2 linked regions of the Callithrix jacchus genome follow. Each later gene encodes a partner of the first gene's protein in a complex. Links are inferred from orthologs where the notes say so. Each region holds a gene or a part of one and is shown in the gene's direction. Other genes may lie near its edges.

What was found. The genes of interacting proteins can lie anywhere in the genome.
Region 2: TCTN1 (region 1) and B9D2 share a complex: the UniProt entries of both Homo sapiens proteins name them as parts of the tectonic-like complex. The link is inferred for Callithrix jacchus from reciprocal best matches to the Homo sapiens genes TCTN1 and B9D2.

The regions. Positions count from the first base shown.
Region 1 is NC_133510.1:113,536,552-113,544,036, forward strand, and holds part of TCTN1 (tectonic-1), read left to right. Parts: intron 1-4,221; coding exon 4,222-4,356; intron 4,357-4,869; coding exon 4,870-4,995; intron 4,996-5,386; coding exon 5,387-5,472; intron 5,473-6,102; coding exon 6,103-6,243; intron 6,244-7,485. UniProt on the Homo sapiens protein: Component of the tectonic-like complex, a complex localized at the transition zone of primary cilia and acting as a barrier that prevents diffusion of transmembrane proteins between the cilia and plasma membranes.
Region 2 is NC_133523.1:36,638,659-36,646,736, reverse strand, and holds the start of B9D2 (B9 domain-containing protein 2), read left to right. Parts: upstream 1-2,577; 5' UTR 2,578-2,773; intron 2,774-2,873; 5' UTR 2,874-2,877; coding exon of another isoform or gene 2,878-2,965; intron 2,966-3,323; 5' UTR 3,324-3,336; coding exon 3,337-3,430; intron 3,431-6,614; coding exon 6,615-6,740; intron 6,741-8,078. UniProt on the Homo sapiens protein: Component of the tectonic-like complex, a complex localized at the transition zone of primary cilia and acting as a barrier that prevents diffusion of transmembrane proteins between the cilia and plasma membranes.

The DNA.
Region 1 (7,485 bases):
ATGGTTTTGTGCTCTTCCGTGGTTCAGTGACACCATTGTCATGACCAGCAGTGGGTGCGATTGACTTCTGAACATTCAGGCCGTCTCTTGCTCTCTTTTTGGTCTCTTGTTGAGAAAGCTGGCCAGCTCCCAGGTTGCTGCCTGTCCAGGGAAGAAGCTGTAAGCACTTTGCCCAGTGGGTGTCCACACTGTGTGGGAGGCATGCCCTGCAGTGTACCTTCAGGGCTTGATTTGAGGGTGGGTTATTTTCAAGGCCTTATCACCCCAGCTGAGGGATCTGTCTGGTTGTGGTCAGGAGGCCAAGGTCTCTTCGTGGCTATGTCAGAAGGAATGTGGATCCCTCACCCCTTAATCTAGGCTCTGCGCCCTAGGCCTGCCTGTGAACACAGTCCCCAAGGAGGCCTGAGTTTGTGGCTTTGTCATAGTCCCCCAGCCTGTGGAACTGGCCAGCCTAGGTTCAAAACTCAGCTTTGCCATTATTTTCTTGTCTGACTGACACCACGGTCTCCCTTTGTCAAGTGGATGGTAAGCATTTGCACAGAGGCGTGATGCAAGGTCGAGTGGGAGAAGCACACGAGGTGCAGGTGCGGAGTCTGTGTAAGGGACGCACTCAGGATGGGGACGCATCAGTTGTGATTGACTTCATTGATGCTCTGGACACAAATGGGTGTGAGGGAAATGTTTGAAAGGGGTTGGAGGGAGGTGAGAGCTAGCCTATTGCATAACTTTCAGACTGCATCCCTGGGAGCCCTAGGGTTCCATGTGACTTTGGATCTCACATGATGGTGTGTGGGGCTGGATCCCCTCTTCTGTGAAGGTGTTTTCAAACTTGTTTTAGTTATAGAAACCCTTTCTCAAATGCAGTCTGAAGCAGAAACCTCCCTAGAGTATAACAGACTGAATCTGAAGCTGTGCTGGTTAGAGCAGGGAAGGGGCCTGAAGCCTTCCACCTGCCCAGCCTCCTCCTCTCTCCTCTTTGTTCCTAGTGAAGAACGCTAGGGCTCCCGGGAATGCAGTCTGAAAGTTATGCAATGGGCTAGCTCTCACCTCCCTCCAACCCCTAGAGAGTGCTTGGATTCTACCATTCAAAACTGGAACCATCTGTGGGGGCAGCAGCCCATCAGCCTTATTCATGATATATCCTTATTTCTAAGGCAGCGTCCAGTATGTACTGGGCACTCAGTGAGTTATGCATTTAGTGATGAATGTCCAGGAGGCACTGTTCTAAGTGCTGTATGTGTCTGATGTCTTCAAATCCTTTTGGCAGTCTTAGGAGGTAGGTTCAGTTACTGTCACTCTCTGGCAGATGAGTCACAGGGAGATGAATGAGCTTGCCCACGGCTGCACAGCTGGGAAGTGGCAGAGCTGGGACGGGGATCCAGGCGGTCTGGCCCCAGGGACCTTATACTTTTCCACCATGCTGGGTCAGCTCTACTCTGTGAGCCCACGTGACAGGCTTCACACACCTTCCTTCTTTGCATCCTGTGGCCACACAGGATATGGCAGATTGGAACTTGGACTTCCAACTTACGTCTGTGTGACACCAAAGATTGTGCTCTAAAGGACAAGCATATAAACTAATCGTAGGGATTTGTTTGAAATTTTCTTAAAAAGCAGATTTTAAGGTTAGAGGATCAGGAGTATAGAAATTGGGTCTAATCTTGCCACTAAGTGAAGACTGTTATGATTGCCTGGAATCATTGTCAGTCTCTGTGGAGCCATCAGCGAAAGATTCCAGGGTAGCCCTGTAGTTTCGTTGAGTATTCTGGAGTTCTTTACTCGTGTGTGGTTTAGGGATGGGATGTGATGGAAGAGGAATCAAGGAAATCAGCATGGCCCTACCGTTTCCTTCTCGTGACTATTGAGTGAGCTGTTGAGATGAGGGCAGCTCTTGCCATTGACACCAGGACTTTCCAGACCTCTTTGACATGGAATCCTTCGATTTTTGCCAATTCCACCCACATACCATAGAAGTAGCTCTGGCAGAGCTTGGTATGGTAGGGTATGCTCTACCCTGGAACCTAGTGTCATTGCTGAATCAAGAACCACTATGCTCAGAGTAAGGAACCCGGGGTTGCCCTTGTGTTAAACAAGAGCTAATTGAATCGCAGCCTAGGACCTTCTCCATGCTGAAACCTCTTGGTGTGGTGTGTTATGCAGAGGACTTCATGGTGACTGGCAAGGCCCTTCTGCCACTCTCATCACATGACAGCTTACGTCTTTGTTACTGAGTCATGTCACATTCTTTTTTTTTTTTGAGATGGAGTCTTGCTTTATCACCAGGCTGAAGTGCAGTGGTGCGATCTCAGCTCACTGCAACCTCCAACTCCCTGGTTCAAGCAATTCTCCTGCCTCAGCCTCCTGAGTAGCTGGGATTACAGATGTGTCACCACGCCCAGCTAATTTTTGTATTTTTAGTAGAGATGGGGTTTCACCATGTTGGCCAGGATGGTCTTGATCTCTTGACCTCATGATCCACCTGCCTCTGCTTCCCAAAGTGCTGGGATTACAGACAATGAGCCACTGTGTCCGGCCATGTTATGTTCTTCTATGAGAGGGTTTGACTCTCAGGTCTTCTTGGTCATGGGAGCAGACACATAAGGACTGTTTATTTATCTCTAAAATGACTGCCTAAATACTTGGTCATTTTGAATTATAAACAGCATGGTGCATGATTGAGTACAAGTTCAAAGTGGTATAAACAACTGTTAATAGATACATGAGGTTCCTTCCTCAACAGTGGTTTCCAAGAATTGAAGTTTAGAGCAAATGACAGATTCATCCTATAGTACAAGGAGGCCCAGCTACCTTTATTTATTTATTTTTTTGAGACGGAGTTTTGCTCTTGTTACCCAGGTTGGAGTGCAATGGCGTGATCTCGGCTCACTGCAACCTCCGCCTCCTGGGTTCAGGCAATTCTCCTGCCTCAGCCTCCCAAGTAGCTAGGATTACAGGCACGTGCCACCATGCCCAGCTATTTTTTTGTATTTTTAGTAGAGACGGGGTCTCACCATGTTGACCAAGCTGGTCTCGAGCTCTTGACCTCATGATCCACCCGCCTCGGCCTCCCAAAGTGCTGGGATTACAGGCTTGAGCCACTGCGCCCGGCTTCCAGCTACCTTTAGAGGATGGCTTGATGCTTTGTTACTCTGCTGGCGGTGGCCATGAATGCAAAATATCCTTTAATAGCACTGGGATAAGCAGGGATTCCTGGTGCTGCTGAAAAGATTTGTCTGTCTCTGTTTTCTCTTGCTTATAATCCCACCACCCAGAGAAACCACTGTGTGTGTGTGTGTGTGTGTGTGTGTGTGTGTGTGTGTGTGTGTGCGCGCGCGCGCCCGCACATGTATGTATGTGTAGAAGTTGGGTATAAATTGGGTCAAATGAATATTCGGGGGTATGTGGAGGCTTAAGGATATGTGTCCTGGGACTGTGTGTGAATGTGCATGTGTGGGTATGGAGTATGTAGGAGTTGTGTTTGGAGGTGAGGATATATATATGCACTTGACAGTGTGATGGAGTTGTGTGTGTGTGTGTATGCAATTCTGTGGTTTTTAGTATAGTCACAGGTTGTACAACCATCGCCACTAATTGCAGAACATTTCCGTCACCCCAAAAAGGAGCCCTGTGTTAGCAGTCACTCCTCATTCTTCCCCAGCTCTGTCCCCAGCCCCTGGCAACCACTAATCTACTTTTCATCGCTATGGGTTTGCCTATTTGGACATTCCATATAAGTGGCATTAGATGTGTGGCCTTTCGTGTCTGGCTTCTGTGACTTAGCATGTTGTCAAGACTCATCTATACCGTGGCGTGTATTAGTACTGTTTTTGTGGATGAGACATATTCCTTTGTAAGGCTAGGCTTTGTACTTATCCATTCATCAGTTGATGGACATTTAAGTCGTTTTCGGTTTTAGCTATTATGATAGTGCAGCTGTGAACATTTGTGTACAAGTTTTTGTGTAAACTTTATGTTTTCAGAGGCAACTGCTTTTAAAGTTTTGGTTATATCTTCTCAAGTATTTTCTTTGTGAATGTATGTATGTTTTTACCTACAAATACCTACTTTCGCAAATGTGGGATCATGGTATACACACTATCGTGTAGCATGCTTCCCTCCACTTGGCCGTATATCAGGGAAGGGTTGTTTCCAGTTGGTTGTGATTTTAGCTCTTTCTCCCTGGATAAAGCATCTTCAGTACTCCAGGTCTTCACTCTGCAGGTACCTATCACTGTTCAGTCCGTTGTCATTCAGTCTCTAAATAAAACGCTCACCCGTCGGGAAGACACTGATGTGCTGCAGCCGGCTCTCGTCAACGCTGGACACTTTAGCCTTTGCATGAATGTTGTGCTTGAGGTAGGTGCCGAATTTGGCTTTGAGAGCTTGTCTGTGACGGACTCAAGCCTCATGTTCCACTGGGGTAACTGGATGCCCTCCGAGGGCGCTCTGTCCTGGCCTGTGATTTGGCTTTTCCTGGCTTGGCTGCCTGCTTGCCTTTTTGTTCTCTCATCAAAAGATGCCTCTTGTCTCCACAAACCTAGTGACTTGCAGGAATACATCAAAATGTTGTTGTCGTTGCTGTTTTTGTTTTAACATGTTTCCTCTGCAGAGATGGACTTATTACATTCTGCTTAGACCAGCTTACATGGAACTTCTGTAATTGGGCACAGTGTGGCTCAGATGACCCTGTCTGCTAAGGGTGGTGCTGAGGGAACCACTTCTCATAATCCAACTGGACAGCAGAGCAAAGCTTCAACACATGGAGAAATGGGGAAAGATTTGCTGCCTATGGGTGTTTTATTTGAGTTATTCATAAAGTTACTGAAATGTCATGGAACAGGTATATTTGGAGGATTGTTTTGTTTTTAGGTAAAATACAGCCTCACATACACAGATGCAGGTGAAGTCATCAAAGCCGATCTCTCTTTACTTCTGGGGACAGTTAGCAGTGTAATGGTTCCACTGCAGCAAAAGTTTGAAATTCATTTTCTTCAGGTAAGGTTGATCAAGCTGGCATAAATATTTAATTGTCAAGTTAAAAAAAAATGACTTCTTAGTGGATAAAAATGAATTTCTGAGTATTACACCCAAGCCTTTGTAGTGCACAGAGGGCTTTGTGTAGCCTGTGGTGTTTGCAGTGAAACCAAGCATCCTCCTTGTATCTTTTTCCCTTTTGGGAATAGATTCCCTTCCACGTTAGCTTGTTCTTTTACAGTATGATATACTCCTACACCTGGCAGATGTATTTATAGTTCTGAGTAGGGAGGGAGAAATACTTTTATTGGTGGGTAATTCCAGATTTTATTATAAAAAAAACCATTTGTCTCCCTGCTATTTCCTTATTGAAATGAGAATTATTTGGAGGCATTTCTGCATTGCCTTTCAGGAAAATACCAAGCCGGTCCCTCTCAGTGGAAACCCTGGTTATGTCATGGGGCTCCCGTTAGCTGCTGGATTCCAGCCTCATAAGGGATATCCTTTTTGGTTCTGTAGAGGGTGAATTTATTCCTGTCTCCATGTGTGTGGGCTGCACTGCTCTTTCTCACTGAGGCTCCCCTGGGCTGCTTGTGGGATGGAGAGAGCAGCCCCGGCGAGCTTCCTGCAGGCAGGAAGGTGGGCGGCCAGTCTGGCTACACAGCAGGTGGGCTAGGGAGAGACTGGCAGTTGGGGGTGAGATAGCATGTCCTAGGAAAATGTCAGTGGTGTTTTTATTGTAAATCTCGTTTTCTTTTCCCAGCCTGCCATTAAGCTACAAAATATGTCAGTGTTTTACAACGAAAATCTTAAGAGAGAAAAGTTGACATTTAAACGTTTTTAATTTCACATTTAAACAGACACTCCTAAACAAATTTAGTGATTTTGAAAATTTAGAATTTCGAAGGGCCAGTTTCTGAGAATTTTTCTTCTGAGAATCTACTTAGTAAGGAAAATAGAGCTATTTTTTTTGCTCACTCCTGGGAAATAGCTGTCAAAATCCCAGAGGCCCAGAAAAAGGGTATGTAGGTCTCCTTCATGTCTCATGTCACACAAACGACAACGTCTTCTTACCTGAGAACCAGGCTGCTCTAGCACTAGGTAGTTGTCCCTTAACTGTCTGTGAATGTCTGGAATTATTCAGATCACAAATAGATATGGACAGCTTACTATTCTTCATAGCACAACTGAGCAAGACTGCTTAGCACTGGAGGGGGTCCGGACCCCAGTATTATTTGGTTACGCTATGCAATCTGGCTGTAAACTAAGGTAAGAGAGTCGCTGGCTTCTATTTGAACATGTTTGTGTTGATCAGAAAACAGGGCATTCTTACTTTTCCCCATTTTAATCAAATCTCTGCATCAACTGATGAGCTCATCTGCAAGCTGCACATGTAGTATATCATCATTCATGAATAGTAGCAAAACTATCACAGTCATTTTCATTATCAAATATGGCAAAGCAGAAATTTCAAGGCTTTGTATGTTTCTTTTTTTTTTTTTTTTGAGATGGAGTCTCGCTTTGTTGCCCAGGCTGGAGTTCAATGGTGTGATCTCTGCTCACTGCAACCTCCGCCTCCCGGGTTCAAGTGATTCTCTCACCTCAGCCTCCCAAGTAGCTGAGGTTACAGGCACCTGCCATCATGCCTGGCTAATTTTTGTCTTTTTAGTTGAGATGGGGTTTCACCATGTTGAAACTGGTCTCAAACTCCTAACCTCAGGTGATCTGCCCGCCTCTGCCTCTCAAAGTGCTGGGATTACAGGTGTAAGCCACCTTGCCTGGCCTTTTTTTTTTTTTTTTTAGAGATGGGGTCTTGTTCTGTCACCCAGACTGGAGTGCAGTGGCACAATTTTGGCTCACTGCAACCTCTGCCTCCTGGTAATCGCCAGCCGGGATTACAGGTGCCCACCACCATGGCTGGCTAATTTTTGTATTTTTAGTAGAGACGGGGTTTCACCATGTTGGCCAGGCTGGTCTCGAACTCCTGACCTCAGGTTATCCACCTGCTTTGGCCTCCCAAAGTGCTGGGATTCCAGGTGTGAGCCACTGTGCCTGGCCTATGTGTTTCATTTTTAAGATTGTTCAGCATTTGAGTTTGTAGCAAAAATATTTCCCCGGAAAGTCTTTTATGTTTCTGAATTTTAATATACACAGCGCATCAAAACCAGTGAGAGGAAGCCTGAATATAACCTGTTTTTCATTTATCTTATTATTAAATAGGTACATAATGTAAAATATCAAATAGCACTGCATGGCTTGTTATGAACACAGTTCTTACCCTCATTTGCCCTCCTTTGGAGGCAACCATTTTCAACTCTTGTAGCTATTTTTTTCAAAATCTACCCCCAAATCTTGAAATAACCTACATATAATGCTACTTCTTGATTTTTTGGTCTTAAGAATTTTTTATTGAATTTTCCATCAAAGAAGACAAAGGTTTGGCTCTTTCCCCTTTATCCCCTACCCCATGACCCACACACTTCCTGCATCTTCCCAGGAATATCTGGTGAG
Region 2 (8,078 bases), on another chromosome or scaffold:
ACTGGGTGAGATAGAGGTGAGAAGAGAAGTGGGGGGATTTAGGATGTATTTCTTTCATTCTCTTTTTTTTTTATTTTGAGACGGAGTTTCTCTCTTGTTGCCCAGGCTGGAGTGTAATGGCTCAATCTCAGTTCAGCGAAAACTCCGCCTCTCAGCTTCAAGCAATTCTCCTGCCTCAGCCTCCGAGTAGCTGGGATTACAGGTGCATACCACCACGCCCAGCTAATTTTTGTATTTTCAGTAGAGACAGGGTTTCACCATTTTGGCCAGGCTTGTCTCGAACTGCTGACCTCATGATCCGCCCACCTAGGCCTCCCAAAGTGCTGGGATTATAGGCGTGAGCCACCACTTCTGGCCAAGATCTTTTGTTTGTTTGTTTCCCCAGCTCCAGCTTAAAGGAAAGAAACATCATTTAAAAGTGAAATTTCAGCTGGGTGCAGTGGCTCACTCCAGCTTGGGCAACAGAGCAAGACTCTGTCTCAAAAAAAATACAATAAGTCGCTGGGGCCGAGAAAGGTGTCTGATGCCCGTAATCCCAGCACTTTGGGAGGCTGAGGCAGACAAATCACAAGGCCAGGAGTTCAAGAGGAGCCTGGTCAACATGGTGAAATTCCATCTCTACTGAAAATACAAACATTAGCCAGGCATAGTGGTGGGCACCTGTAATCCCAGCTACTCAGGAGGCTGAGACAGAAGAATCGCTTGAACCTGTTAGGTAGAGATTGCAGTGAGCTGAAATTACGCCATTGCACTCCAGCCTGGGTGACAGCGGGAGAGTCTGCCTCAAAAAAAAAAAAAAAAAATACCCAAACAACAACAACAAAAACAAAATTATAAGGAAGGGGCAACATTTCAATAGGATAACATTTATATTAAACAATTCAATGGACTATTTCACTAGCAGATATACGCGTTAATTTTTGTAGGGATGGGGTCTTGCTATATTTGAACTTCTGGCCTCAAGAGCTCTTCTTGCCTCAGCCTTCAAAAGGGCTGAGATTACAGGCATGAGCCACTGCGCCTAGCCAATGGTAGCTTTTAAATACTTGTATCTATTGGCCAGGCTGGGTGGCTCAGTCTGTAATCCCAACAGTTTGGGAGGGCAAACTGGGAGGACTGCTAGAGTCCAGGAGGTCAAGACAAGACTGGGCAACACAGCAAGACTCCATCTGTGTTTTTTTTTTGAGACGGAGTCTCGCTCTGTACCCCAGGCTGGAGTGCAGTGGCGCGATCTCGGCTCACTGCAACCTCTGCCTCCTGGGTCCCGGTTCAAGCAATTCTCCTGCCTCAGCCTCCCGACTAGCTGGGATTACAGGCCTGAGCCACCGTGCCCGGCAAGACTCCCTCTCTTAAAAAAAAATAAAAAAGAATTAGCCAGCTGTGATTGCGTATGTCTGTGATCCCAGCTACTGGGAGGCTGAGGCAGGAGGACCCCTTGAACTCAGAAGTTAAGAGGTTGCAGTGAGCTGTGATGGAGCCACCGTACTCCAGCTTGGGTGACAGAGACCCTTTGATGGGACCTGATGACTGGCTGGATGCGGGAAATGATGGCATCTAGGATGGCATCTAGGATGGCATCCAGGCATAACATCTCCATTTCTTTATTGAAAAATCAATAGGAAAGAGGATTTTCTGCAAATAAGGGGATCTAAGTTCCTCATTTCTCCTCGCTATCCCAACGGCTCCTTGCTCGGAATCAAGCAGTAACAGTGAACTAGGTAGTAGTTCCGAGAAGGACGTTGGACTTATCAGACCTTGAGAAGCCTAGAGGAACTCTTAAAACGGAAATGGAACCCACTTCCCAACTTCTCCACTCTCAGAATGAGGATTTTTTTTTGCTTTGTTTTCCAGTTACAAGGCAGGGGATGTACAAGAGGTCCTAGAAGGAATTCCCCCTTGGTCCTGGCTCAAGTCTCTGATTTGTGATCCCAGACCATAGAGAGCTCTTAGGTGGGTTGGAGCAAGGAGGGGTGGGCGGAGCACGAAGCGGTGAGGGATCAGCTTTTTTGGTAAAGACTATAGCTAGGAGAAACTACACTCAAACTTCCTCAGCCACACTCAAGATGGCAGCTTTCTCGCCACGCCCAAAATGGCGGAATCCTTTGCCGCGGCTGGAGGGATGCTATTTTCCCAAAACGGAGCGAGAAGAGGAAAATGTCCATCATAGCTTCACCCGACCCCACCCTCCCCCCCAACCCCCGAACGGCTAGCACCAATCAGTGGCGCGCAGGGCGGGTACAAAGCCAGGGGAGGAGCCTGCTGTTGCCCCAGCAACAACCAGGGAACCGAAGACGAGCGCGACCGCAGAAATATTGCGGCTTCCATCTCTCGCAGACAGGAAGGTCTTGGGAGAGGCGCGAGCCAAGCCCGGTCGGCGCCCGCAGAGAAAAGGACAAGTCAAACCCACGAACTACAAACCTCGTTACCGCGTTCGCGTCTCCTAACCGTTAAGGGCGCCAAGGTAGGAATAACGCATGCGCGATGCCTAGAGGCGGGGCTAAGGCGGCCATGAACTCATAACGCATGCGCCTTATGGAGCTGGGGGGGGTGGTCGGGGGAGGCGGGGATTTTGCGCTCGTGGGCGGGGCCTTCAGCGGAATTGAACCCAAAGAAGTTATTTTAGACTTTGCAGAATTAAATACTGGCTCCCCAGACAAGGGTTCCCTCATTTTTTCCAGGCTTTCCTGCGTTGCCAATTAGCATCTGTGGCCAAGACGTCAGCCCCAGGGGTTTGACGAAGGTAGCTTGGAATCCTAGTACTACCGTTTATCTGGTGAGGCTCAGTTCCCCGCTCCCTCGGCGCCCCCCCCTCCCCCATCAAATGGAGATAATACACTCACCTCACAGGGTTGTGATTATATTTTTACTCCCAGGGCCATGGCTGAGGTGCATGTGATCGGGCAGATCATGGGGGCCAGCGGTTTCTCGGAAAGTAGCCTCTTCTGCAAGTGGGGCATCCACACAGGTATCCCCCCCCAGGGCCTGGTTCATTTCCACACCAAGACCCTTAGCCTAGAGGCTGCACGCTCCTTCCTCGACCCCTTAATGTAGCGTCTTAACCTCATCTTCCATCAGCTCTGAGTACTCCAGTCCCAGCCCACACCCTGTCCACCTGAGTCTCAAGCTCTTGTCTTTTTTTGGAGGGGAGTGGGGACAGACAGGCTCTTTCTCTGTCGCCCAAGCTGGAGGAAGGTGGTGTGATTATAGCTCACTGCAGCTTCCAACTCTCGGGCTCTAGTGATCCTCTCACCTTAGCCTCCTGAGAAGCTCGAACTACAGGCATGCACCACCAAGTCTGGCTAATATTTTTATTTTTTGTACAGACAGGGACTTGCTATGTTGCCCAGGCTGGTCTTGAACTCCTGGGCCCAAGCAATCCACCCACCTCCGCCTCCCAAAGTGCTGGGATTACTGAGTCATCATGCCCCAGGTAAGTCGTTTTTTTCATGCTTCCCCAGCTGAGACCCTGTAGAGTCATGGTATAGTGTAATGGTTAGGTCCATGGACTGCCAGATCTGGTTTTAAATACTGACTCCCCACCTATTAATTGGAGATCTTTGGACTTGACCTCTTTGAGCCTCAGTTTCCTTGTCTGAAAGTGAAGCTGATAGCAGCTAAGAAGCAGCACAGGGTTGAGGTTAAAAGCATAGACTGCCTGGGTTCAAAACCAGTTATTGCTTGTTAATGCAACCTTGGCCTAGGGGAGGTTGAAGTGGGCAGATCACTTGAGGTCAGAAGTTCAAGACCAGCCTGGCCAACATGGTAAAACCCCGTCTCTACTAAAAATACAGAAGAATTACCTGGTCATGGTGGCTGGTGCCTGTAATTTCAGCTACTCAGGAGGCTGAGGCAGGAGAATCACTTGCACCTGGAAAGCAGAGGTTACAGTGAGCTGAGATCCTGCCTCTGCACTCCAGCCTGGGTGATGGAGCGAGACTCTCTCAAAAATAAATAAATAAAAGAAATGAGTGCAGTTGGGCATGGTGACTCACCCCATCCCAGAACTTTGGGAGGCTGAGTTAGAAGGATCAGTTGAGCTCAGGAGTTTGAGACCAGCCTGGGCAACATAGGGAAACCCCTGTCTCTACAAAAAATAAAAAAGTAGCAGGGCATGATGGTACATGCCTGTGGTCCCAACAACTTGGGAGGTTGAGGTGGGAGGATTGCTTGAGCCTGGGAGGTTGAGGCCATAGTGAGCTGTGATTGTGCCACTGCACTCCACAGAGGGAGACTTTGTCTCCAAATTAAAAAAAAAAGAGGCCAGACGCAGTGGCTCATGCCTGTAATCCCAGCACTTTGGGAGGCTGATGCGGGCAGATCATGAGGTCAGGAGTTTGAAGTTCGAGACAGGGTGAGACTCTCAAAAAAAAAAAAAAGGAACACCGTGATTACAGACAGTGGTAAGTGCTAGGATGAAAAAAATGATGTGACAGGGACCTGTGTTTGGAGAAGAGGGACAGGGAGTACTCCTCTGTGGAAGTGGCATGTGAGCTGAGCCCTGAAGGATGAAAACAAGCTAGGGATGGGGACACCCAGGAGCAGAGCTTTCTAGGCAGGGGGAACAGCAAGTGCGACGGCCCTGAGGTGGGGAGACAGAAGTGGGACCAGTGAGGCCTGAGGGTGATGAGGGCGGGGGAGAGTGATGGGAGATGAACTCCGGGAGGGGAGCAAGAGCCAGGCCATTTAGGCCATGGTGGAGAGTCTGTAAACTAGGGGGTGAGGAGGGGATGAAGAATCCTATAGGGTCGATTAAAGGAATGCATCGCCTAAAGTGCTTAGCAGAGCATATACAATTTGGTAAGTATTCAGTGCATTTTTCTTTTTTTCCTACTTCTTTTTTTGAGACAAGAGTTTTACTCTGTTGCCCAGACTGGAGTGCAATGGCATGATCTCGGCTCACTGCAACCTCTGCCGCCTGGGTTCAAGCGATTCTCCTGCCTCCGCCTCCTGAGTAGCTGGGAATACAGTCACACACCGCCACACCCAGCTAATTTTTGTATTTTTGGTAGAGACGTGGTTTCACCATGTTGGTCAGGCTGGTTTCAAACTCCTGACCTCATGGTCTGCCTGCCTCGAGCTCCTAAAGTGCTGAGATTACAGGCATGAGCCAGCGCGCCCCGCCACTCGGTGCATTTTAACTATCATCACCCCTTAGTAGCATCTAAATTGTTACATGTGCTTAGGATGTGCTTCTGGAGGGTATCCTTGGACTAGGCTTGTGAATGTGGGGTGAGAATAGTAAGATGATATTGAGGGCCGGGTGTGGTGGCTCACGCCTGTAATCCCAGCACTTTGGGAAGCCAAGGTGGGTGGATCACAAGGTCAAGAGATCGGGACCATCCTGGTCAACATGGTGAAACCCCGTCTCTACTAAAAATACAAAAAATTAGCTGGGCATGGTGGCGTGTGCCTGTAATCCCAGCTACTCAGGAGGCTGAGGCAGGAGAATTGCCTGAACCCAGGAGGCGGAGGTTGCGGTGAGCCGAGATCACGCCATTGCACTCTAGCCTGGGTAACGAGAGCAAAACTCCGTCTCAAAAAAAAAAAAAAAAAAAAGATGATATTGAAGCCTTATCCCACATTCACCATGCCCCCTGCAGTGTTCCAAGGGCTTTATATTAATTCACTTAATTGTCTCACCAAACTATGAGTGCTGTGGTTTGAATGTGTGTTCCCTCCAAAACGCACGTTGAATGAGTTGAATCCCCAATGTGGCAGTATTAAGAGGTAGGGCCTTTAAGAGGTGATTCATCCCTTCAGAACCCCCATGAATGGATGAATCTGTTCATGGATTAATGGGTTAATGGATGACTTCGTTATCATGGGAGAGGAACTGGTGGCTTTGTATAAAATGAGAAAGAGAAACCTGAGTGGCATGTTGACACACTAGCCTTGGGAATCTTCGGAGAGTCCCCCCAGCAAGAAGGCTCTTACCAGATGGGACCCCTCCACCTCAGTCAATCTCCCATAATTGTGAGATAGAAATTCCTTTTCTTTATAAATTACCCAGTTTTGGATATTATGTTACGAGTAACAGAAAACAGGCGGGGTGCGGTAGGCTGGGTGTGGTGGCTCACTCCTGTAATCCCAGCACTTTGGGAGGCCAAGGCGGGCGGAACACGAGGTCAGGAGATCGAGACCATTCTGGCCAACAAAGTGAAACGCCATCTCTACTAAAAATGCAAAAATTAGCTGGGTGTGTGGTGTGTGCCTATAGTCCCAGCTACTCGGGAGGCTGAGGCAGGAGAATCACTTGAACCTGGGAGGTGGAGGTTGCAGTGAGCCGAGTTTGTGCCACTGCACTCCAGCCTGGTAACAGAGCGAGATTCTGCCTCAAAAAAAAAAAAAAGAAAACAAGTGAAGACAATGAGGATTGCATTATTACTCACGCATTTTACAGATGCGAAGACTAAGGCAGAGAAAGGTAACTTGCCTAAGGTTGCACAGGCAGGAAGAAGTAATGCCAGGATTTGAACCCAGATATTTGGCTCCAGAGTTCATGCTTCGTAAGCCCTACGAGCAGATGCCACAGAGATACACAGTCCTGTAGCCACGGCAGCATCCCCTTCCCATAGGCTGCCTCCCACCCCTCTGTGTCCTGGCTCTCATTGCAGGGGCAGCGTGGAAGCTCCTATCAGGTGTGCGGGAGGGCCAGACGCAGGTGGACACCCCCCAGATAGGGGAAATGGCCTACTGGTCCCACCCCATCGACCTGCACTTTGCCACCAAAGGTCTTCAAGGTGAGTACTACCCCTGGGCTCGGGGCCAGGCTGAGGGGAGGGGGCCAGTAGCATCTGAAGTCCCTGGGGCTGGGAACACCAAGACCTGTCCCTGCTCCGCATACCACATGGGTGCCTTTGGCAGCCAAGTCTGGCCCTGGAGAGGCTGAGCTAAGGCTTTCCCAGGCCTGCTCAATAGTTTGTAGGATTAGGGCTGAGGCCAGGTTGGAGGGGGAGATGGGAAGGTGGGGGTCAGGGTGGGAGGGGAGGTGGCATTCAAGTAAAGAGATGAACCAAGAGTCTCCAATACAGAGGAAGCTGGGAGGCAGGGTCTAAGAGCGGCAAGGGCTGGTTCTCTAGGAAGGAATCCTCAGCTTGAAAATGGAGCGCTGCGCAAAGGGGAAGTGAGTACTGGGGGAGGAGCTGCTTCAGAAAACCTTTCTGGTTTTTTTTTTGGAGACAAGAGTTTCACTCTTGTTTCCCAGGCTGGAGTGCAATGGTGTGATCTTGGCTCACTGCAGCCTCCACCTCCTGGGTTCAAGTGATTCTCCTGCCTCAGCCTCCTGAGTAGCTGGGATTACAGGTATGCACTGCCATGCCTGGCTCATTTTTGTATTTTTAGTAGAGATGTTTCACCATGTTGGTTAGGCTGGTCTCGAACTCCTGACTTTGTGATCTGCCCACCTTGGCCTCCCAAAGTGCTGGAATTACAGGCATGAGCCATTGTGCCCAGCCCAGAAAACCTTTCTGGTAGAAAATGTGGGCTCCTGAAGACAAGTTGATTCTGAGAAATAGCCTAGGTAAATGTGCCATATATTTCACCAATTTAAAGAATGTTTAGGCCAGGTGCAGTGGCTCACACCTGTAAACTCAGCAGTTTGGGAGGCTGAGGTGGGTGGATCACAAGGTCAAGAGATCGAAACCCCATCTCTACTAAAAATATAAAAATTAGCCAGGCGTGGTGACGTGTGCCTGTAATGCCAGCTACTCGGGAAGCTGAAGCAGGAGAATTGCTTGAACCTGGGAGGCAGAGGTTGCAGTGAGCTGAGATCACACCACTGCACTCCAGCCTGGGTGACAGAGCAAGACTCTGTCTCAAAAAAAAAAAAAGGATGTTTACCTGGTGCCTGCCCTGTATCCAGCCTGCGTTGGGTGATGCCAGAGCGACACTGGGAATCAAGACAGCACCCCCCAGCCCTGTCCTCACAGGGCCAACCATCCTATGGAGGGGGACAATCCTCTCTCCAGACAGTGGTATGCCAAAGTGTGCAGGACTAAGATAGGTGATTTGGAGAGGCTGTGGGAGCCCAGAGGAGGTGCCTGACTCTGTCAGGGAGGTCAGAGAGGGATGCCTGGAGG